Linked DNA regions of Arabidopsis thaliana. The protein of the gene in region 3 interacts with the protein of the main gene of each other region in a pairwise test. Each region holds a gene or a part of one and is shown on either strand. Other genes may lie near its edges.

Evidence for each region.
Region 1: the proteins of AT5G62610 (region 3) and AT3G06590 interact in binary tests that used the Arabidopsis thaliana proteins (3 or more experiments, as listed by UniProt).
Region 2: the proteins of AT5G62610 (region 3) and AT1G09250 interact in binary tests that used the Arabidopsis thaliana proteins (3 or more experiments, as listed by UniProt).
Region 4: the proteins of AT5G62610 (region 3) and AT2G14760 interact in binary tests that used the Arabidopsis thaliana proteins (3 or more experiments, as listed by UniProt).

Annotation. Positions count from the first base shown.
Region 1 is NC_003074.8:2,051,178-2,058,069, forward strand, and holds AT3G06590 (basic helix-loop-helix (bHLH) DNA-binding superfamily protein), read right to left. Parts: upstream 4,490-6,892; 5' UTR 4,136-4,489; coding exon 3,470-4,135; 3' UTR 3,466-3,469; exon of another isoform or gene 2,512-3,465; 3' UTR 1,902-2,511; exon of another isoform or gene 1,823-1,901; 3' UTR 1,570-1,822; downstream 1-1,569. Other genes in the region: GALK (Mevalonate/galactokinase family protein), read right to left, coding at 1-44, 156-331, 528-690. UniProt on the Arabidopsis thaliana protein: bHLH transcription factor that binds DNA on specific sequence 5'-CANNTG-3' in target gene promoters. Negatively regulates brassinosteroid signaling.
Region 2 is NC_003070.9:2,986,863-2,991,997, forward strand, and holds AT1G09250 (basic helix-loop-helix (bHLH) DNA-binding superfamily protein), read left to right. Parts: upstream 1-2,278; 5' UTR 2,279-2,646; coding exon 2,647-3,270; 3' UTR 3,271-3,565; downstream 3,566-5,135. Other genes in the region: AT1G09245 (Plant self-incompatibility protein S1 family), read right to left, coding at 86-505. UniProt on the Arabidopsis thaliana protein: Atypical bHLH transcription factor probably unable to bind DNA. Negatively regulates brassinosteroid signaling.
Region 3 is NC_003076.8:25,131,233-25,138,292, reverse strand, and holds AT5G62610 (basic helix-loop-helix (bHLH) DNA-binding superfamily protein), read left to right. Parts: upstream 1-2,227; 5' UTR 2,228-2,294; intron 2,295-3,386; exon of another isoform or gene 3,387-3,412; 5' UTR 3,413-3,692; coding exon 3,693-3,992; intron 3,993-4,307; coding exon 4,308-4,514; intron 4,515-4,596; coding exon 4,597-4,662; intron 4,663-4,743; coding exon 4,744-4,812; intron 4,813-4,883; coding exon 4,884-4,961; intron 4,962-5,050; coding exon 5,051-5,176; 3' UTR 5,177-5,445; downstream 5,446-7,060. Other genes in the region: AT5G62620 (Galactosyltransferase family protein), read right to left, coding at 1-178, 272-1,157; MOS14 (ARM repeat superfamily protein), read left to right, coding at 5,820-5,942, 6,513-6,590, 6,682-6,744, 6,971-7,018.
Region 4 is NC_003071.7:6,320,147-6,325,954, forward strand, and holds AT2G14760 (basic helix-loop-helix (bHLH) DNA-binding superfamily protein), read right to left. Parts: upstream 3,252-5,808; 5' UTR 3,167-3,251; coding exon 2,690-3,166; intron 2,610-2,689; coding exon 2,328-2,609; coding exon of another isoform or gene 2,313-2,327; exon of another isoform or gene 2,209-2,312; coding exon 2,104-2,208; intron 1,967-2,103; coding exon 1,901-1,966; intron 1,790-1,900; coding exon 1,694-1,789; 3' UTR 1,441-1,693; downstream 1-1,440.

The DNA.
Region 1 (6,892 bases), on a different chromosome or scaffold from region 3:
CATATGAAGTAATGCCCCCATTTGTGATTCTTCAAGTCAATTTCCTGCAAAATTAACACGTACGATAAGTAAAGTAAGCCAGTAGTATTCTAGGACTCCAGGATCTCAACTATATTGTCTGTGACAAACAGGAGAATGCAACACAGATACATTACCTGGTCAGGATCGGCAGGATATGTACACATAGTGTACTTATCATTAACATTTGCAATCCGAAGCTGCTTTTGATCCTCACATTTCCGAATCGCTATAATTGTATCCTGACGAATAGCCATCGGCAACACTGAGTATCCTTCATAGTCAATGTGCTCTCCTATCAGATTCACTCTTCCTACACACAAAATATAACAAACACCTTCACCATCTATTTTCACAATCATATCCAACAATTCCAAACAGAAGATCATCTGATGTCATCATCCAAATACCAAAATTGCAGACATCGATACAATAATTAGAAACCAATTCATCTCAAAGTCAACGAAATTCCAATTTTTGCAAAAATTCAAAAACCCGAGATTATTTACCAGGAGAGCGAGCGAAGAGTTGGGGAGAAGCACCGAAGACATCGTTGAAATTGGCCTTCAAAACATCGAATCGTTGTGTAGCTTCTTGGAGCAGAGATCCTTCGCCGTAGACAGGCTCAAGAGATGTGAAGATCGGGACTGATACTTCTTCCGGTTTCGCCATTTTTGTAGTTTCTCCTTTTGGCTCTCTCTGTCTCTCTCGATCACTTGTCGTCACTTAACCTCTAATGTTCACAGTTATCACGAAACGTCTTCGCTAGAGCATAATTATTAATTGCCACCGATCTTATTTCTAAAATATATTAATTGTTTATCGTATTTAAGATCTGTTCCGGAAGATCGCTTGTATTTATCGAATATTTTGAATTTTAAAAATGAATATTTGTGAATATCTTACTTATCCAAAACTTTCGATCTTTTGGATTCCGGAACACGTTTATGAATCTTAATTCGTACTATATTTGTTGGTGATTTTTTTTTTCTTTGGGTAGGTTTATATTTGATAAACATATTATTCCCAAAAATGATGTTATTGATTAAAAAACGTTTCCTAATTCTTCTAACACTCTATGAATTCAGATAACACTAGATTAGATAAGTGTCCTAGTTTGAATTTAAATTTAATCGTATTTTACGTGTGTGAGAGTTATATCCTATATGTAAAAACTAAAAGTAATTTGAGCTATAAGATAATACTGAATGGATAAATAGTAAAAGTTTTCCGGTTAACCGTTGTTTTTAATTCCTGCTTAATTAGATTGAGTAACAAATATGCAAGTGTTAACGTGTAGCAACATGGAGGTATTACATACAATGTAGATAAAACTATATCTGAAAAAGATATTGATTTATGTGTAAATTAAAAATAATAAAAAATTTCTAAAAGATGATTAGAGGAATAATATATTACATTGTATATATTAGCCATAGGGTTTAGGGTTCAACTAGATTTTTAAGGTTACTCTTATCGTTTATTTATTTATTAATGATATATATATATATATATATATATATATATATATATATATTTATTTATTCACACAATTTAATAAGCAAACGTCTAAGTTGAAACCCTAAATTAAAATATCATTTCTCAAATCACTATAAAATGGAGTCTCTCCCAGAAGAAGTGGTTGTGAAGGAGATCTTGCCACGCGTGGCTCTTTCTTCACTCAAGCTTGTTCAACTTCAGCCTCGTATGCAAATCATTACATAATCTCTGCAACGACCCTCAAGTTCTCGAACACGTCTGCCTCGACGAAATCAAAACCGCAAACGATGACCTATAACTAAAGCTAGAGTTTTCTCAAGAGATGCAGAGAGAGCGGAAACACGGAAGCAGTGGCTCGTGAAGGAATTGTGAAGTGCTTTTACCTATTCAGTAATATTGTTGATGAAGAGAAAGGGATCGAATGTTTGCAAAAGCCGCGTCTAAAGGACTCAAAGCTGCCTCATATCTCTGTGGAGTGATCTCTTTGTGTCGCGGTGGGAAAGTTCCGCAAAAGAGTATCGAGATTTTCAAGTCTTCTTTTGTCGTGAAATCTTCGGCACTGAAGACTAGGAGAAACCTCCAGGAGTATCTGCAATGGATGGTTTCCAAATATAAAAATCATTTTTTGGGAATTAGGCTCCTTGGTTATAACTGTGTTCGACATGGACATAATTTTATCTGGGCAAGTTTCTCTAATAGTGTGTTGGCGAGTTTTAATCCAATCTTCTACAATGTTGCGGTTTATTTTCTCTAATAGTTTGTCCCTTTTGGCAATAATAATATAACTTATGAAATATGTGATGAAAAGAGTTGTCGTGCAAGTTAATAAGAGAAGGCTTAAAAAGAAACAAGAGGACAAAGGCATGGCCACTCCCATGTGCCTCCTCATACTTTTAAGGTCACTTCTCTCTATGTTTTAAATATTTTTTGCTTTTGTCGTCACTTGTCTCTTGTTGTCGCCTAGTCATACTCCAGTGTTCTTAAATCATATCCCTATCACAGAAATTCGTATATTAATTAAGCTAATGAATCAAACTCCTGTTAAGTCAATTTTAACTACAGGTTATTCAGTTTTGCTTCGTGATGAATATTGAAGGATATACAGTACGTGCAGAACTGCAGATTAGTGTTTGAGAAAACTTATTTAGTAACAGGGAATTATTAGCTAATTTAATCTTTTTTCTTCTTTTTTTCCTTTATATTTCTTGTGAAATAAGGAAAAGAAAAGAAAAAGAAGACAAACAACCTATAAGTATCAAAAATGGGATTCAAAGGAGGGGCAATAAAGCGAGTAGATGATTGAGTGACAGATCAATCTCATCAGTCATCATTCAATTCAATGAATTTGAATGTATCATTCCATTCATTCTCTAATGCATCATCACATGCTACCATAATCAAAACTAAAGTTAACCCATTATCTTCCTACATCTACTATAATGTATTTTAAAATTCTAAATGGGAAATTATTTTCTTTCCACTTTATTGCAGTACAAATCTATTTCATGTTGAAATTTCATATAGTACATAAGATGATATAGTACAAAGCCATATTGAATGAACTAAAAGTACATCAAAAGTTCCATATTGGTTTAGTTATCACATACTATGAGGTTAAAAGAGGAACCCATTTTCCCACTAACTCCAATAACGAATTCATCAATCTTATTTTTTTTTTGATCAACAACGAATTCATCAATCTAAATCAAATAATCCAACTACGATTTGAACCCTAATGGTAAAGACTTTATTAATCAATCATATACTTAATTTAGACTTGAGGATCGTAAAAATGGGAAGACTCGGTTCAAAATTTACTTTTACTTGTAGCAGAGAAGAATCAGCGGTTGGGAAGAGTAGTTACAGATTATAATCAAACCGAATCTTCTATATACACATAAGCTGTGAAAGATCGAGAGATGGTAGAATTAAAAAGACGATTTTAACCTCATCAAATCGGTGGAGGAGCTGAGCCGTAGGAGGAGAGAAGCTGAACTAAAGAGTTCATGGCTCTCACTTGCATCTCCAGAGCCTGAATATAATCAGTTGCTTCTTCTAGAATCACCGGTACGGATTGTTTACCGCAACCGGGAACTAACCGGCCTAGAACACGTACTTTCCGGTTAACATCCGGTATACTCTTCTTATTCAATCTCAACACCGACACTCTCCGTTTTCTCGATCTGTTGCTGCTGCTACTAACCACCGTAGTCATGGCCGGAATCGCCATCGTAGCTCGAGGACGTCTCTGTTTACGAAATTTCAGTTTGATCCGATTAGCTAAGATCGCTCTGCTCCAGAGTGTTCTTCCCCGAGCGGAAACGGCAAGAGCTCGATCGGCGGCTTCACGGACGGCCTTTCCTCGTTTCTGAGCCGTTGGAGATGATGATGTTGAGGCGGAAGAGTTGAGGCGGACTTGTTGGAGCGCTTGGAACAGTTTGGCTGAGTAGATCCGTTGTTGCTTCTCCGATCGCCATCGCGCGTGAATCTCACCGGAGACGGAAGATGCGCTTGAACGAGACGATGCGGCGGATGAAGCAGAGGATCTCTTCTTTCTCCGAACGAGATCTGAAGTAGTACTCGTCGGCGGTTCAATATCTGAGATCAGAGACGCCATAACCAAATAATTGGCTCTGATCTCCGCAGTCGTATTGAAAGAGCTACAGAATCCGAATTTATCTGAAGTTGAGCGGAAGAAAGTTATGAAATTGTGGAGAATAATGGAAGGGAGAAGAAGAGGAAGATATATAAAGGGAGAGAGGTATCAACTATCACGAGACGTAGCAGTTAACAAACGGCCCCGTTTTAGATGTAGCAGTTAATAAGCGGCGTCGTTTTGTCAATTTGTTTTTTAGTATTTGTTGTTTTAGCCAGATACGAAAGTGGCATTTGTAATGCATGATAAAGAGAATTCGTGAATACCACCAAGAAACAAATAATTTCATTCTCAACACTAGTGGAATTGATAAGTTATAATTAACTGGCTCTATAACCTCTAATGGTTTTGGAATAATGAGAGACAGAGACATCATTGTGACTTGAAGCAATGTTTATGAATTATGATTATACTTAAAAAGTTTTGTTCCACGTTGATTAGTTCACAATTATTTTTTTAAACTTACCCTCTTGACAGAGATTTTAGAAAGAAATTTATATACAAAATTTCTTACAATCACGAGTTTTCGATCTTTTGTAGACATAATCTAAATAGAGAGTAAAATACATAATAGAAATGCTACAAAGATCCTAATGTGGGTAGAGCATCCATAACGATAGTTTCCAATCAATTTAGGGTACAATCTTAATTACTAAATTAGCTTATTGATATCTAAAGATGTTTACGAAAAGAGAAAACAAACAAACTTGTATAAAGGCCGATACTTTGGTGGAATGGAGGAGGAAGGTAGATTCAAACGAAAGGATGACGTGTCATATTACTATTGGAGAAATCCATTTACGACTTATAGTGGTCGTTTAATGGACTGACAGGGCAAAAAGAGAGGGGCCAAAAACTCAAAACTTTGGATTTTGTATTCAGTGCAATGATTTCGTAAATATTGGAATTGTATTTAAAATACTACTTTACGCATAAAGTAATATACCAAACGAAATGCATGTGCGATGTAGGGTTAGTGGCACTGCCTCTCTTTACGGCTTTTTTTTCTTTCCCTGTAAAGAAAAGATCACTGAAATTAACTCCTGTATTTTATCAAAAAAAAGTTTTGTATGTGTATCTATCAATATGTATGAATAAAATTTCATTAAATTTTGTGTATATGTATAAGTAGATATAAGATTAATAGATTGTTGGGTAAAGTATAAGGGAGTGGCGTCATTTTATTCATATATCCTGCTGAAAAAAGGAGCTTCTGAACTTCTCCATTGGGTTAATTCATATATAAATAAAGCTAGCTACGTTCAAACTAATTTTCTAGAAAAGTTACTGTTAGTTTGATTTTTGTTTGTACTGTTCACTATGTTGAGTTTGATCAGCAGTTAAAATGGAAAATACCTATCTTAGTTTATGTTAGACATAAAAGTACCACAATGGTATATATACTGTATTAAGATGTTTTTAGGCGGGTGGAAAGGATGTTAGAAACAGAGCGCAATGCGCAATGCTTCATAGATAATAGTATTCATTTAACCTAAGGGCTAAGGGTTAATAATTGTGTCAGTAACGTGGCATATTCTCTGTACCTTAGAAAGTTATAAGCTAGAATGATTCCACATGACAAATTAATGATAAGAAACAACATATCCAATTATTCACTAAAGTGTCACTTACAATAAAATAGTTTATCTACTTCGAATTTAAGAATATATTTTCGATTTAGATACTTAAATTTTCTCAATTTATACTTTAGAATCAAGCAGAAAATTTGTTGGTGAAGAACAAAGCAACCTAATGAATTATCTGTTTTACGAACTGAGTCAAAGAAACCACTATTCGAATCTGCGATTTGCGTAATTCTCATGGGCTCTACTTCAACAACAACAACAAAAAAAACATGTATCACAAAGGTTGCTGGCTGTAATTGTTATCTTCCATTAATAGAAATAAATATATTTCGGATTGGAAGTTCAAATTTGTTACTATGAAAATTTACTACTGTAAATCATAATTCCAGCTATCTAAGGTTTTCAAATTTATTTGCAAATCATTATGTATCTCGGATGTAATGAGTTTTTTCTTATTATATTAATGAAAAAAGTTGATAAGGAAAGGAAAACTAACTATTAAGTATGATGAAGGTGGCACAGAGATTGCCTCCCTAATTCTAGACACCAAATAAACTAAGTGAACGACAGACAATGGAAGAAGAAGGACTAGTTTCTTTTTAAAGGAAGAAAAAGGGAAGTATTGATTAGATTAACAGATGATGATGCTCAATCATTGTTTTTTCAACGGGTCTATTTTGGATTGCTAATATGAAATGATTAATAGTCTTTTGGTAAATTTAACATCAACTTAACAACACTTTTCAGAGGCAAATATGAAAACACTAACCTGTGTAGTTTTTTCTTTTTTCAAATGATATTTCCAACTTCTATGTGTTTCGCTTCATCAGAAGTAGTTGATTTTTTGTCCCTGGTTTCTCACAGTGATAGCAGCCAAATCCTGTTTAAATAGTAGAAATATGATTATTGTTAGATTACGTACACTAATTTATAAGCATTTGGAAGCCTAACTCTTAAGTTGCCATCATTGTTTTACCAACAACACTGAGCAAACGTGACAATTACTTGACCAATGACAATCTTTGTTGTGAATCGAAAAGCTGAATTTCCAACCCATGATTTGCCTAGGTTTAATACCAGCTTTTCATCATACACGTGAAAAATAATTACTCCTAAATCTATAGTGGGAATC
Region 2 (5,135 bases), on a different chromosome or scaffold from region 3:
CAAAATAACTGCAAATATATATATATATATATGAAGAATCTTGATGTAAATTACAAAGATGAAAAAAATATTATTATCATCAACATTACTTAGTTTTATTCCATGTATAACGGAACACTGCTGGCGGATTTACATTTCTTATAAGGTAAATTCTATCTTTTCTAGCAATCCAATTACGGATAGCACCGCATCGACGAACGTTGGCCATCATGTATGCTATAAATTCTGAATAATATCGCATGTATAAGCCGTGTTTCAAAATGCAACTCCATCTTGTTCTTTTTCCTAACTTGTCTCCGAATGCGATTTCTTTATATTCATTGAATTGTAAATTTGCGACGTCTAGATTGTGATCTCTTGAATGACAATGGTATTGAAGAACTAAACCGGGACCAAGCTCGTTTCTAATTAGAACTTTATTTTTTGGACATGGGAACATGTCAAATGCTACATTCAATCCAAAATATGTTACAACAACAAACATAAAAATTATAAAACGATTCATTTAAGAGTAATTTGAGACTCCAGTTTGAATTTGATGACATCAATAATGCATTATATATAGTTATTAGTGTGTTAGTATTTTCTTATGGCCTTAACTAAAATTAGTTAAATTGAAACACAAACATGAATTATTAATATATAGGTATTGCCGAAAAAAGTATGGTTGACCAATCCCAATGGATTCAACCTTACAAATCATAGGTGATCCACAAACATCTAACTAAAACCAAAATATTTAAGATATAACAAAAAAATCTTGCAAGTGTACTATTTTAACAGGACAAGTGTATCTTGTAATACGGAAGATTTCGAAAATTTGAACTCCCGATTTCAACATAACAAAATAACATCTGTCCTCGGGCCTATACAGGCCCAGTAAGTCTAACGATAAATGAGCCTTAATGGACTAGATTTAAAACTTTATAAAGGGGCCAAGGCGTTCACAAACCCAACAGTAGGTACAGAAGGCTCCTGGTAATAACTGAAAAGCAACGCAACCACATAGCAAAGACAAGTTACTTGATCCAAGAGAGCTGTTTCCTTTGTGTGATGTTGTTCGATTTTGACCTCAGTGTTTATGAATTCCTGAGTAAGATCTAGTCTTTAACTTCCCCACCTTGGATACTGTATTCACGAATGAGCATGTTTTTGTTCCTTGGGAGATTCCATAATTGGTCTGATGCATATAGACATGTGTTTTTTTTTTTTGGTGTCATATGTGCGCTGTGAATCTTGTGATATTTTAGAATCTAAAAAATATACACGCACAAGAAAAGCTTACGACCACATATATCAATGGGTTCCAGTTTAAAAATTTGGTGAGTATTATTAAGAGAGTCGGAGAAGAAATATTTGAGCGTGGTTAAAATATTAAGAAAAGGAAGAGACATGGAGACGATGTCTCAATTAAGGGGGCAAGCCTCTCTGGCCAATTACAGAGAAAAGGGCCCTTTTAGATTCTCTTCAAGATCTTCTTTTTTTTTTTCTTGTTTTTTTTGGTATAAATCACACATTTACTACAAAAATGCACTTATAATATTTAGTGTCAACTCATAATTGCTAAAACATTTCTCTCGTGTTTTCCATAGCAAGGTGCCAAAAACGAATTGATCAAGAAAAGTAAATGTTTTACATTAGTTACTATAGAATTTAGATCATGGTTTGTTTAAGATTTAGAACTTGGTGTAGGAACTAATAATTCCCTCGTGATATATGACAAATTGACAATGACATTCACCGTTACGAAGGATCGAATTTTGTCAAGAAAAAATATTTTCTAAACTATGGTATGAAGACAATATACATATACTACTCATTACTCTTGAATTTTATTTTTGTTTTTCCTTTGTAGACTACTCATTACTCTTTAGATTGAGATATCAATTAGAAACATACAAATCACACACAAAATAGTGGGAAACGGCAAAGGAGAGAATTTGTTGGCGGAAAATTGTCCACAACATTACAAATGAGTAAAGGTCACACAAAAGAGATCCTTTTTTCTCATATGGCAGCGCCATGAAAATGGTCACATGGAATGCTTTTTTGGTAAATTTTCTTTTCTCTTTTGCTTATTTCACTCTCTGAGTGCTTTTTTCCCTTTCTCTGCTTACCTTTAAAATAAAATAAAACCACATGAATTCTACCGCAACCACTTGAAACAAAAGATTCAACATCACCCTTTATTTCTCAACTTATCAAAAATATATATATCAATCGTCTATATTCTTTGACCTTTGGAGTTACAATGTATAAACATAGAAAATATATTTGCATCGCTCAGCATTTTGACTATTAAAGGGCATAATTTTGGAGCTTCATGCCAAGGCAAAAAGATAAAGAACAATCACATGAATGACAAAAGATTAAAAACAAAAGATTTTTAACTAATGAAAAAAAACACAAAAAACAAATACCGGTAAATAAGGGCAAAAGTGGAATTAAGTGTTATAGCTCCGCTGGCGATTGGCAGAGATATAAAAACTGATCTCTCTCCATTCATCTTCTCTTGTTTCTAACTAGTCACATTGAGAGAGAGAGAGAGAGAAAGAGAGACTCTCAGAATCTGAAGAAGAAGAAGAGATTGTTGTTTTTGCCTTTTATCATCGGTTTCTTTGAATCTCTGGTTTTAAATCGGATTTAATGGTGGAGTCTCTGTTCCCGAGCATCGAAAACACAGGTGAATCGTCTCGAAGAAAGAAGCCGAGGATATCAGAGACGGCGGAGGCGGAGATAGAGGCACGACGTGTCAACGAAGAAAGCTTGAAGAGATGGAAAACGAATCGTGTGCAACAGATCTACGCTTGTAAGCTCGTCGAAGCTTTACGCCGAGTTCGTCAGAGATCTTCCACCACCAGCAACAACGAGACCGATAAACTCGTCTCCGGCGCGGCGAGGGAGATACGTGATACGGCGGATCGAGTTCTAGCTGCGTCCGCTCGTGGTACGACTCGGTGGAGCAGAGCGATTTTAGCGAGTCGCGTCCGAGCGAAGCTGAAGAAACATAGAAAGGCGAAAAAGTCAACGGGAAATTGTAAATCGAGAAAAGGTCTCACGGAGACGAATCGGATTAAGTTACCGGCGGTTGAGAGAAAACTGAAGATTCTTGGCCGTTTGGTTCCTGGTTGCCGGAAAGTCTCTGTACCGAATCTTTTAGATGAAGCGACCGATTACATCGCAGCGTTAGAGATGCAGGTTCGAGCCATGGAGGCTCTCGCCGAACTTTTAACCGCAGCCGCACCACGGACGACGTTGACCGGAACTTAACGGCGGCAGTTAGTTTGTCAGTTGTTAATTAGCTTTTCTTTTACCTTTTTACCCCTTTATTTTGGCTTCAAGTGTTTTTTTTTTCTCGTCGACGCGATTTTAATTTATTAAATTCATGTATTTTATTTGTATACATCATCACTTCTTTTTTTTTGTATCCATTTTGATCTTTCTTTGTTTTTTCGTTAGATAATCAAAGTTATCTAAACAATAACAACAACAAAATGCCAACTAATGTCGATTCCAAAAATTGTTTAACGCTTTAAAAAAAAATTAGACCTACAAATTAAAGAAACTAAAAAGTAAGGAGAAGAACAAATAATTTGCAAGTTGAAGCAATTCAAAAATGAGCATGTGCGTGTAACGTGTTGAGGACACCCACCTTAATTTTGGGGCCAATGGACTCCATGTGATTCTCAAAGACTTTTTCCGACGTTGAAGTTTATGTCGAAAAGTGTATTTTTTGCTCAAAATGCCCTCAAAATCTTTCAAACTGATTAGAAAAAAACATTTACTTGAATGTCAACATTAATTATGATAACAAGGAGTAGCATACGACTCTTCAAGAGAACTGACATTATGAAAAATTGATGATTATGGTATAAAATACAAGTTAGTAAAAGTTAGTTGTCAGAAGAAATCCACTAGGAATAACATTGAAAGAAGTGGTGAGCAAAAAGGACCACAAAAATGGAACCAAAAGAAGAGGAAACAATAAGATTGAGAAATGAGTCTCTTGGAACATCTTTTTTCCCTCTTTAAGACTCCCCACGTGTGCTCTTTCTTTTAACACCCAATATGTCTTTCAAAAGCATTCACACCTTTTTGTTGTATATCAAATTAAATGGCAACATGTTTGTGGGTCATTGTGTCTTCCAAGTTATATAAGAAGATTTCTCACAAAATCCATCTTGATAAGTCCTTGGATCGAGCTTGGAGGATGTGCTATAGGTTTTAAATATATATATTTTAAGTACATGTTAGATGAAACTTAAAAAAAACTAATTTATGGTTGTATTTCAAAGATATTTGTCAACTGAGATAGATAGGTTATCCAAATGTCATCTATCGACATACTGCATCTTTTGTCCTTTTCTAGTTTTCTTAATACGGCTGATATAGTTTTAGATAGTAATGTATTCATTCACATGATATGGTTTTTGTGAAGAAAAGCGGAATTAATAGTGAGGCAAATATGTATAGGTATGCTTTTGTTAATTAAATAATATAAATGCATCGAATGATAGCTACAAAACAAACGAAAAGAAAAAAGAGGAAAAAAAGAAGAAGGAGAAAATGTGGAGTTGGCCATATGTGGCTAAAAGGTAGACCCAATGTGATCACATGCAACCATGTGACTCCAATTATGAACCTCATATGTGAATGTGGCCGAGGAGATGCCAAATTTTCAAGAATCTCCTCTTTCTACAACGCTATTTACAAACAAAAGCAAACACTAGTTTTACATTTACAGTCCATACTTATCGACTCGTAAAAAACAAAACAAGAAAAATACAAAATTATCATCTTATTCTTACCTTGTGTTTGAGTTCCCTAATTCCACCAATACTCCTCACTTTAACGTTATGGAATCCGTAGAAGAGAAGGAAAATGCAATCGGTTCAACCGGCAGAAAAGACCGGACCAGAATGTTGAGTAGTGGAAACAATGGGTCCGACGATTAGAGAAGCAAACAAAAACCCTCTTCGACAAAATTTAATTCAACAAATACTGTCATCCATATCTTTTCTTTTCATGTACGTTTGATTATACACGTAAAAGACTTTTGCGTGGTGTAATGAGATGGAACACGTGGCAAGACAGCATGCACTCGCACATGTACTTAGTCAGACAGATTTCGTTGT
Region 3 (7,060 bases):
CTAAGAGTAAGCACGAAAAGCTTGTCAACTGTGAATGGAAATGGCCATTCAACAGTTACTTTCTTGCTCCGACCTATTAATCGACTAAGCCACCATGAAGCCGCCTTGCTAGACTCTTCTTCTTTAGATGTAATGCTATCATCCCGAGCCCATTTCTCGCACTTAACCTGACCATCAACTACAACCATTCTTACTAATTAGTATCCCCAACAAAAACACCAAGAAAAACAACAGATGAAAGATAAATGCTTTTGAACATATCTACACTAACCAGTCTCTTCATCATCCCTAGATCTCCATCCTTCACATCTTTGTGCTGAGCCCCATTGCATTCTATAGCAAGTGTTCTGCTCAATCACAGGCTTACCACTCCAATCACCCTTAAGCCTTGGATTCAAGTGGAGTATCCGAGGTGGCTCTTCTCCTTCCACTGCTTTCAAACCCTGAAGCTCCAACTTAAACTGTGAAACCTTCACAGCTTCATCTCCTTCCTTTAACATCGATATCTTAGGGTCCTTCTCCGAATGAGCAGCTCGTGGCTTCCCAACCACTGTAATATGTGACCCAAGAGTTAAACCACATGGAAGCTCCATGATATTCCCACGTTTCAAAAGATCAGACCCGGTTAAGGAAACAGAGAGAGAACACGAGTTTGTCCCATGTTCCTCAATCTTCTTCTTCTTCTCCTTCTCCAAAGCTTTCAACGTTTTCCCAGACTCAAGCTCTTCCCATATCTTTCGACCAACTTCCCAAGCTACCTTAGCAGATTTATGAAGCTCCACAGACCCATCTTTGCTACTCGGGTTAAACGTTTCCGGGTCGAATCTCAAACTAGAAAGGATCCGAGTCCTTCTTCTTAAACCCTGAGCCGGTGATTCCGATTGTGATTCCTGGTAAAGCAGACTCTTTAAAGGTCGAGTCGGAGCTCGTCTCTCTTGTAACTCTCTCTGACTATTGTGCTTCTCGGGTCGGGTTAACGGATCCTGAGATAAAGAACTAAGCCCGGTTTTGAAGACGAAAGGGATTTCGAATGTGATAAGAAGCATGTAGAGTAACCCAACCGCCATTAGTATCTGAACCGATCTCTGCTTGCTTAGAGAAACGAAAATGTCGAATTTCTCTAACCTCTCGAGTTTTGACAACTTGGGCTTCCTCATTCCTAAATTATACGAAGAAAAATCCAAACTTTTTTTTAACTGGAAACAGAAAACCCTAGTGATGATGATCAAAGAGGAACAGAATCTCAAAATTCAAAATTTCAAAAAACAAATAAAAATCAAATCTTGAGAGATTACGATGAACGGAGACAATCAGTAGATTGGTGGGTTACTATAAATTCTGAAAAACCCTTTGAACACGAAGAGAGAAAATTCAAGAACTTTCTATGGAAAAGACAAATCTTTAGTGAGAAAATTCAAAACCCGAAAGAAACGTAAAGTCGAAAATTTAAATCTTTAGAGAGACGTGTAAAATCGTAAGATGAACAGAAACGCGTCAGGAGAATTTGGAGAAGGAAGCAGCAAGGGGAAGAGTTAAAGCTCTCTCCTCTTTCTTAGTTAGTGCTGCTGACGTCTGAATAAACCGCCGTTTTGGTCCATCTCTCTCTCTCTCTTTTTCGAATCTTTTCTTCGCTTTTAAATCTTCTCTTTTTCCTTATTTTATTTAGTTTTCGATTAAAGTTATAGATTCGTTGGATTTATCTTTTCAAATTAAAGTAATTTTATTATTCTAGATGATTATTTCCACCACCAGTAGAATAAAAAGGAAAAACGTTATGTTTTTGTCGAATTTTAATCTTATAATTGAAGTAATAAGATTTTTAAGGTTAAGCAAATCGACCAAAAAAACAAATCGAAAAGGTTGTCTTGATTACACGAGACAGAATGTGAAATTATTAGTTAATTAGTACTATATGATTTATAAATTAAAAAAAAACAATAATAGTAGATGGAATCATATGTATTTGATTGTTTAGTAGATATGATTCTTATTTTGAAATTTAAACTATTATTGATTAATGTCTACTTAGTCGGTGCTAAATCGGCCAACTGTGTCATTCCATCACCAATGAAGTCACATAGTACTCCTATGCTCATGTTTTTATTTTTGACTTTTCTCTCTATTAATTTTCTTAATTTCATGACCAAACTGAAATGAACAGAAGAAATTGATAACAAAAAAATAGTGTTTCTTGTTTTTTTATTAGAGGTATCTTGATGAGTAGAGCAAAAAAGCTTTATGGGAAAAATGGAAAGAGAGGAATTGGGCTTCATGTGTGACACCTTTGCATCCAGGTGTCTTCTCTTTCTACACTTGTCTTTTCCACCTTTTCATTATTTCATCAAAATATAAACATATTCCACTTAATTCGATAATAAAATTAATAATTAAAAAAGTTTTGCAGAAAAACATCAATTTCTAATTTGTTGGTCTTTAAACAATTTTCTTGCTACACATTTAGAGCATTCAATGCTATAGAATTGACTTTTAAAAGTTTTAACTCAGTGAATAGTTTTAGAGCTTTTTTGTTTGTTATATACTGTATTCTTAAAAACGTTTGATATCTCTGTATTCATCATTCAAAAATACAAACTTTTATAATAAACACAACAAATGAAGGTTGAAATCATCGAAACGAAAAATGACACTCTTGGCTCCTTGTATTTTTCCGCAACTACCTTGAACATGTCATCTACCAAAAAGGCTAAAACTACATTGAACATAATAAAACTATAGCTTCTGAATTTTTAAAAATTTAACGTGAAGAACGTTGACATGCAAACAAAAAGACTAAAACACATGTCATCTATCCTTCATATTAGCGTTTTATATATTTAGCTAGAATTTTGGCTTTTGTGATTAAGCATTTAAAATTTAAATATATGGCCCATTGTCACATCCTCGATCGTATCCTACGTACCGGTGTGTGGTTCCCTTCACTTTACACAACTAACTTTCATAAAACATATGACTATGAAGTGGGAGATCTATGTTAAATAAAAAAACACTAATTGGTGAATATTATTGTAAACATAGGCGATCGAGTACTTACTAGGATGGACATATGGTACGAAGATCAAATTTTTAATCCAAACATATACGTTTTTTCCTTAAACACGTCAGAATGAAATTACCAAAGTAACATGATTTGGTTTTGCTAGTATGTATTTTTTTCTAAGAGAGATGCATTGTCCTTTGGTGTATTTAAGTTGTTCACAGTAAAATTACCAAAGTTGTTCACAGTAAAAAATAATTTAATCAAAGGATAACTAAAAGACATAATTGTGAGATTTTTATTTTTTATTTTTGATAGAAATTATTTAGGTTATTGCGCCATAATATATCTTTTCTATTCAATTTTGTTTCTAAACGAAACGAAAATTTTACCATTGTAATATTTTTTTTATAACAGAAACGGCAAAATATTTGATGTAAGCTGTGTAATTAATGAGATTTTCTGAAAGTATTGGTGATAAATCATCTTCCATTGCATACTAGTGGCGCATTATCACTACCCACATCTGTCTTACCTTCTCCGATCTCTCTCTCTATTTGTCCACCTCACACACAACCCTATAAACAAGACAAGACCTCGCAAAGCTCAAACCTTTTCCTTCTTTTTTTCTATCAAGTTCCTCACTTCTCGGATCCGGGTCCTAAATCTGGGTCAACCCTTTTTACGATCATCGGAAATGGACCCTCCACTAGTGAACGATTCCTCCTTCTCTGCAGCTAATCCTTCTTCTTACACTCTCTCCGAGATTTGGCCTTTCCCTGTAAACGACGCCGTTCGCTCTGGTCTCCGTTTAGCTGTTAACTCCGGTCGAGTCTTTACTCGCTCTGAACATTCCGGCAATAAAGACGTCTCCGCGGCTGAGGAATCTACAGTCACCGATCTAACTGCTGGCTGGGGAAGTAGAAAGACTAGAGATTTGAACTCTGAGGATGATTCTTCAAAGATGGTTTCTTCCAGCAGCAGTGGTAATGAATTGGTGAGATTTTGCACTTCAATTTTTGAAAAGTCCTGATTTTTATTTGTTGGGTCTTTTGAATGTTTGAATCTAGATCCTTTAGCTTGGTGGTGATCTAAAAATCAATGAGTCAAAGTTTAAGTCTTTGGTTTAGGGATCAAGGATTAGTTTATAGATTAGATGACTTATCTCCATTGACTTTTTGACTTAAGTTGGATTCAGCTTGAAGACCATTAGTTTGATAGATGTTGGAATGGTCAATGCTTACTTAGTGATCTTAGATTGAGAGTTTGATTTAGGATCTTAAAGCTTTCCATCTGTTTACTTTTTTAATAGAAAGAATCAGGGGATAAGAAAAGAAAACTGTGTGGATCTGAAAGTGGAAATGGAGATGGTTCGATGAGACCTGAAGGCGAAACAAGTTCGGGTGGTGGTGGAAGCAAAGCAACGGAACAGAAGAACAAACCTGAGCCACCAAAGGATTATATTCATGTGAGAGCAAGAAGAGGACAAGCTACTGACCGGCATAGTTTAGCAGAGCGAGTAATTCTTCTGCTAAAATCACCATAAATTTTATCCTCAAAAACTGTTCCTTTTATTAGAATCACAATGTTGTCTTTGACAGGCTAGAAGAGAAAAGATCAGTGAGAAGATGACAGCTCTTCAAGATATAATTCCAGGATGTAATAAGGTACATGTTCTTTTGGTCCCTGCTTGTGAATGATGTTATTATAGCCTAAAAAACATTCAACAAGATATTTCTGTTGATCAGATAATCGGAAAAGCCCTTGTGCTCGATGAGATTATCAATTATATTCAGTCATTGCAGCGGCAAGTTGAGGTAAAAGTCGTTAACACCTCTCTGTTATATGTTACAATTATACATGCCTAAGCATGGAGTTTGGTCTGCAGTTTCTATCAATGAAGCTAGAAGTTGTTAACTCGGGTGCAAGTACTGGTCCGACAATAGGAGTTTTTCCTTCCGGTGATGTAAGTCCCAAATCTAAAAGAACATAGAAAAATCTTATCTTTCTTAATCAAAGCTACTAAATCTAAAAGCTCTTGGTGTGTTGTATCAGCTCGGGACTTTACCGATTGACGTTCATCGAACAATATACGAGCAACAAGAAGCTAATGAAACCCGAGTATCTCAACCGGAGTGGCTCCATATGCAGGTTGATGGGAACTTTAACCGAACCACATAAAAAAGAGTCTTTCTCTGATTGATGGATGTGTTTTGTAGGCAGTAAAAATGAATGCAACCCTTTATTTTTTATCCTATGCGTGTGTATCATTTTGCTGTTATATCATAAGATAGAATATGAGAGTGACCAGAGAGATTAACACTTTATAAAACATTGTTGTATTGTCCTATTATATAACTTGTAACAATTGATTCAGTAACATATGTTGGTCTTAAATCTTGTCCTTTGTATAATCTTTATGTTATGATGAATCAATGATACGTTTTTTTTGTTGTCTTCAATTTATTGCAACAACTGAAAAAAAGTAAACAACTTCTGTCTTCAAAATAAAAGAAGAAGGATTTGACTTTAAGTCAAAGTAATTGTATCTAACGGCTGAGATTCTCTCTTCTTCATCCTCTTTCAGATCAAAATTCGATCTCTATCTCTCTTCCTCACTCAAGTTGAGGGGCGCCAAAAAAAAACCTTTTTGACAAAGAGGGAAAAAAAAAGTTTTTATTTTTATTGTTTTTGTTGGGCGAAATCGATTTGACAAAATCCCGAATTTCAGTTGGGCAAATTCTTCTATTTCTCAATCTGGGTCTTTCTCTCTGGTCGTGATTTGGTGACCGTACGAGCGAATAACGCGTAAAGATTCATAGCTATGGAGCATCAGAACGCGGTCAAAGAAGCCCTAAACGCACTGTATCATCACCCGGATGATACAGTGCGTGTGCACGCTGATCGCTGGCTTCAGAACTTCCAAGGAACTCTCGATGCTTGGCAGGCGAGTTTTTTCTTTTCGATTTCAATTATTTAATCTCGATTTGTTTAGGTTCGATTTGTTCTTCCTTGTTTTGTAGCACTTGTGCTAGAGTTTAATGTTCGATTTTCAGCTACTGTAGACCATATAGGTGCATAAAGTTTCATCCTTTAGTCAATTTGTATTAGTGATTTGCTCTTTAAGGTCATATAGGCTTATGCATAGCAGAAATCTCAAAATTTCAGTACGTCTAAGTTCATTTCTGAGTTACTTTAGACTATATAAGTGCATAAATTTTCATCCTTTAGTCAATTTGTATTAGCGATTCGCTTGTTAAGGTCATATAGGCTTATGCATAGCAGAAATCTCGAATTTTCAGTACATCTAAGTTCAATTGTGCACTTTTTCCTGTAGCTGGTTTGAGAAGTATGTGTAAGGTGTGTGAATAGATTTACCTTGTTAGAGAAACGATTAGCTAGGTTTTATATGAGCTCTTTTCTTTTAGACCCATGATTGTTGTTGCGGAGAAGAGGATTTTTTTTGATGGAGAAGTTCTACAATATTTCTTACTCTGTGCTGTTGTATGTTTTCTAGGTTGCGGATAATTTACTTCATGATTCTTCTAGCAATTTGGAAACTTTGATATTCTGTTCTCAGACCCTTCGAAGCAAGGTAAATGCACCTGAATGTTTCTGTAAATCCTTATTCATTTATCACACAATCTTGGAGCATTCTGGTGACATCTAGTCTGTCTCACTCGAAGGTTCAACGAGATTTTGAAGAACTACCACCTGGGGCTTTTCAGAAGCTACGGCAATCATTAACGGTAATTCTTTGTTCTATTAACTATTTCTTCCAAAGTTGTAGGGTTTCATGAGTTATTCATTAGTATGTCTGTTCCTTTGAGCAATAACATAATAGGAAAACTCAGTTGAACTAGAGTATTCTGGGATCTAGGTTTTACTATGATTTCATCTTTCTGGCCTATTATTCTTGGTATTGGACAATTACTTCCCGGAAAATTTTGACTTTCATTATTTTCTCAAATGCAGACATTGTTAAAAAAGTTCCACAAGGGCCCTCCAAAAGTTAGGACCCAGGTAAGTGCATATGTGGAATTTTCTGTTGTGCGTATAAAGTCA
Region 4 (5,808 bases), on a different chromosome or scaffold from region 3:
ACGCTTTAATTTTTAACCATTAAATCAGTGGTTCAAAATATTTCATGACACTTGAAACTACAACCGTCCGCTTTCACAAACTCCCGTATTCATAACCGTAAACGCTGTAAAACGTAAATCCATAATTTTCCCACCAAAAACGTAAATCCGTAATTTTTCTGACAAATACAGAAACCCGAATATTCCTACCCTAAACGTAAATCCATTAACCAGTCATAAAGCTCCCGAAAACGCACCAATTTTTAACTACTAAACCAGTCGTTCAAAATGTTTTATAACGCTTGAAACTGCAACCGTCCGATTCCGTAAACTCCTACAGTCGCAACCGAATTGCTGCGTTTCAACCAGTCAGGCCTTTAGATAAGGTTTCTTAGTCATGGGCATTCGGTTATCCATTCAATTTTGATTCGTATCCATACGGTTATCGGTTCTTTCGGTTATAAAGTTTATTATCCATTCAATTATTTTTAAATTTTGGTTCGGTTTTGGTTCCGTTCCGGTTCTTTTGGTTTTAAAATTTAAAATTCATTCATTTATTTTTCTTTGAATATTTTCGCATATTTTGGTTATTTTTGATATTTTTATATGTTTTCGGTATTTCGAGTATTTCTACTGTTAAATAACTTTTAATTATTTAGTTTATAAATAATTAATATTTTTGAAAATATAATTATATTATATTTCGGATATTTTCGGTTATCCAAAATATTTTGATTTGTAACTATTCGGTTTTGGTTCTTTCGGTTATAGAATTTAATATCCGTTTGGTTATTTTCAAATTTTTGGTTTGGTTTAGTTTTTTTTGCATCGGTTTCGGTTTGGTACATTCGGTTCAGTTTATTTGCCTAGGCTTAAGTTTTCTTGATAAGAAATTTTAGGCCCATGTTTTTATATAGATTTTAGTTTTGAAAGTAGTTTGGTTGGGTTAGACCCATATCTAATTTTAATTTTGTTAAGTAGATGAGATGACATAGAAAAATGGTAAGCTTTTATTGGTCAACGTAAATAAGGTGTATTAATCGAAATGTTCTGATTGGTTGTTGATTTTAATGAGGTGTCATGCTGAGAACACTTAAAAAAGCTGATGTGTCAGCGCATGAGAGACTTTTAGAGTTTTTATGTTGTTGATAAGTTTTAATTTCAAAAGATATTTTACTAATCAATCTTAGGGTTTGGGAACTCATTCATCTTATATACCAAGTTCTGAAACAATGTCAAATCATTGACCAACCTGTCGGCTCTTCCTGCCTTCAACTTTTGACCTTGTCACGTCTTTGAACGCAAGATCAAATTAGATATAACAAAATTCGATTTTTGAACGCAATATCAGAAATATAATTAAAGTCCCAAATTGTATCCTATGAGTATAAAATTCTCAAGCATACAATCCAAAGATATTGAACGCTTAGTATTAATTTAAATTCTGATTACATCATTTACGTGTATGACGTAAACGAATCAAATAATTCAAACAAAAAAAAGAGATAAAATAAACGAATCCATTATCAAAACGATGATCGTACACCAATATATATCTCAAGAATCAAAAAAATTGTTGGACATAACTCGACATACAAATATAAAATAATATTTAGAGTATAAAACGTCAAAATGTGACTCTTCATATCTCTAGTATTAAATTATATATATATATATAAATAAATAGAATTAAAATCCGAAGGTGTCTCTTGAATCATCTGGTCAGTGCATTGAGTTTTAGGTCAAGGCCAATGTCCATTCCGTTGTAAGCAATAGGCGCATACATCCATAGATCATCAGAGCTCAATAACTGTATAACATAACATTATTCATTATAACCAATATTTAATTCTCTATCTTTAATTGATACAATATTTTCTATGGTTTAATTTATATTATAAGCATTGAGAACCTAACGTACCTTAATTTGGAGCTGTAGAAATTTGACGTATTGTACTGCTTCTTCCAACATCGTGCTAATATCAACCTGATACATACATATTTAACACATTTAATTTACTTAGTAATCATGAAACGAAATGAGTAAAAAGTGATGTGGTTACGTAGTAATAAATAAGTTTGCATGGAAAAAAAAAGGTTTGCATGAATGAAAGACATATGTACCTTTGTTCCATTAGGGACGAGATGTTGCAAAATCCTTAGCCTCTCGTTTATCCTCTCTCTTCTTTTCTGCACCATCATACAATGGACTTTGTTTAATTGTTTCAGCTATCATAATAAATTTTGTTATGTTTGTACAATGCATATACATAAGACTCATCATCACATTTGTGTACATGTTTGAATAACATCGAAGCCTTAATTTTTAAAGTTTATGTGTAAATTACCCTTGCGTAAAGGCTTTGAGGATCTGTGGCCGCGCCGCGGCTGGCCCTAGTCTTGCCGTTGAGGTTGAGAGCCTTAGAGTCCTCGCCATCTTCTTTGGACAAGAAAGTGTCTCCACCGTTTGATTCGTCATCCGAACAACAAGTCTTTTGCGGCTTAAGTGGTTTGGTCTTTCTCTTCCCCGCAGCCTTCTCCGTATATTCTTCTTCGCCGCTATTTTCATTTTCGCCACTCATCTCTACGCATTTCTGGCTCCTTCGTGCCTTGTTGGCTCTCTTGTTCTTCTGATTTGGTTTCAAGAACATTAAAATATTTAGAATTATGGTTTCGGCTGAAAAAAAAAAAAAACGTTTGTACAACTTACATCAGTTGTTGTGGCACGCGTCCTCTTCTTTGAACTCTCACATTGGTTGAACATTTTCTCATCAGTGGTCGTGGTCAAGGAGTTCTCAGGCTGTAGCATACTATGGTCGTGGTTTTCTGCGACAGTCTCCAAAGGCAAGAGGCTTTTACCGGAGTATTCCGTCGCATCACATTCACTTGTCTCTTCACCAACAAGGTACAAGTTCGTGTTGATTGTCGCGTCCTCCATCCCATTGTTATCTTCTTCTTGCCGTGGCATCGCCGCGCAGTAACCACTATAACTACTGCTCTCCTGAGAGAAGCAAAAGCCACCATTCCATTGAGAACCCTGGTGGTGGTAGGCCGTGAGTGTGGCGGTTGTCTCTGAAGATGAACCGCCACAAGGTTGCTCATAGGAGGCAAGGAGCTGATTCATAAAGTCAGCTTCCTCTGTATATATTCCGCCTAGGCCGGTGCTCCATTCTCCCATGGCTTCCATTTTTGATCACTAAGCGACTTTAACAATAGACTAATTAATCTTAATTAAAATCCGATAAGTAATGTGAGAGTATTGAAGGAATGATTGAGAGGAGTTTGATGTGTGTATTATATATAGGATCATGAGAAGTAATGGATATAATTAAATGTCAACCAATAAAACATTATAACCATCTTTAGAATAAAGTATTTTTTTGGGTAACCAGGTCTTGATACCCATAGATATGAACAGCTAATTATAGAGCTTAAAGAAAGCTTTGTCTTTCTCTATATCTGTTAAGCATGAGTTAAAATCTGTATTTAGTCATTGGTAATTCAATACAAAAAGAAGAGGATCAGACCTATACAAATCCTTGGAGGGGAGATAAATCCAGGTTCAACTGTATCTATTATGTTAATAATATAGAGTTGTGAAGAAAATAATGAATGTAAGGAAAAGGTACAACTAGGAAAAAATATAATTGTGATGTATCAATCCCAAAACCAGGGACTTATACATATGTTTAATTTATAATTGATGTATAGAAGACCTTTGCATTTGAGGATTTGTTTGAGCAAGTCTAAAATATGAAAAACAATCTCTTTCTAGTTACAGTCGCTATGATTGGTTCAAGTTCTTAAAAAAACGGTTAACAATTTGTTTTAGTGGTTGGAGGAAACGGTTAGAGAATACCAAGTTGAAAAATAAAACATAATATCAAAAACAAACATGACAAAGAAGACTCAAATAACAAAAATAATCTTATACCAAAATATGTTTACACTTTTAGTGGTACAAAAATTTGTTGGGTTTCAAAGTAACAAAATATCATAGATTTGTCAAGTTGTGACGTGAGTATATATTGTTATGAATGTAAGAAAAAAAATAACTAGGAGAATTATCATTGTGATGTATCGATCCCAAAAGCATGGACTTATACGGATGTTTAATTCATAATTGGTGTATATATAGAATACCTTTGCATTTAAGGATTTGTTTGAGCAAGTCTACAAGAAGAAAACAATTCTCTTACTAGTTACGGTCGTTGTGGTGAAAGCAGTTAGAAAATTAAGTTGACAAAAAACAATCCGATAACATAAAAAAAAAAAAAAAAAACAATAAGACAATCTTATATTGTTGGCTTTACACTTTTGCTAGTCTTAAATTTTGTTCGGACTTAAAATTACAGAATATCGTTGATCTATCAAGTGCGAAGTGACTATATTGGTATGCAAGAGCCGGATCATGGCCGAGGAAAATATATATCCCTTCATTATACCAACTTTGAAAGATGGAATGTTGATGCATGCAAATATCTTGAGAAGCTATAATCCAATAGACATGTTAACCAAGGTCATCATGTATGATAAGATAAGGAAATGTGCAATTTTATTCGGATTTTTAGCTAATGTAAGGTAATGTGCTTGTCTATAGACTAAGGATCGAAGTCATTAGTCTATAGACTTGCAAATTTTGCAAACTTCTTGTTGGTGAGCATTGGAAAATTTATGGAGCCTCTATCTTTATTTTCTTTATGTTATCTTAGTTTTAATTTGTATGAACTTCTCTCGTTTAAAGTTTAATAGTGAATGAAAGTTGTTTGACAAAAAAAAAGGATCGAAGTCATTAATCCTCCAATTAGAGAAAAATGATTACTATTTTGTTCATGTAAATACTTAATATATAGTCTACCACTTTGAATAAGTTCCATCCATAAATTTGAGTGAGTTCGAACAAGAGTTTTTAAATAAGTCTAATGTTTTCAGGGGAACGAAAATGAGAGGTGTGAAGGGGAGAAATGAGAATGAGAGACTCGGTTGTTGAACGTGACAGTTATTGTTGATATTAGTAATTATTTTATGCATTAATCAAATGTAAATTAAATAACTAATGACTCATTATAAGCTGACAAAAAAAACCAATCAAATTTGATTAAGTTTAAGTCAATGAACGGACGGCTGATCGTGCGCGTGGAAATGCTATAACCCATTCTTATCAAATATACACTTTATTTCAAAGTAATTAAATATGGATAATGAAAATGGTTACCATATTTTGTAAAAATGATGCGACAGATTTGAATGGTAAACAACTAAACAAATACGGTTTAGTGAGTAGTCAAAATTTTCATCTTGTACAAGATTTGATCTGACATAAAACATGTATTTTTTGATCAAAAAAACGGGTAGTAATATGCAAGTAAACCTTCTTCTTCTTATACCAAAATAAAAAAAAAGTAAACCTTCTTCTTTTTTAAGTAGTTATAAAAAAATTAACATTCGAAAAATATACAAATTTTCAATTTAACAAGTAGCTAATTTTCAGTGAAATTTCTAAACCACATATATATATTTATTCTTAGAAATTATAAATACATAACAAATATTAAAATAATTTGCGTGTTAATTGTAAACCTAACAATATGACCTAGATGAGTAAAATGCACTTGGTAGCTTTCGTTAACTCCAAATTCGTCTTTATATATTATCAATAACCTTGTTTATGAAGTGTTCCAACCAATTTTCTACTTCGATGAATATCGCTGCCATCAAATTCATCTAGTATGGAGTGTACCTCTTTCAAACAAAGCCTTCATGTAGGGAGAGAGTCCGACATTAGCTAGTGTGTATGCAAGAACCACACACATCATGCCCTCTCTTTGA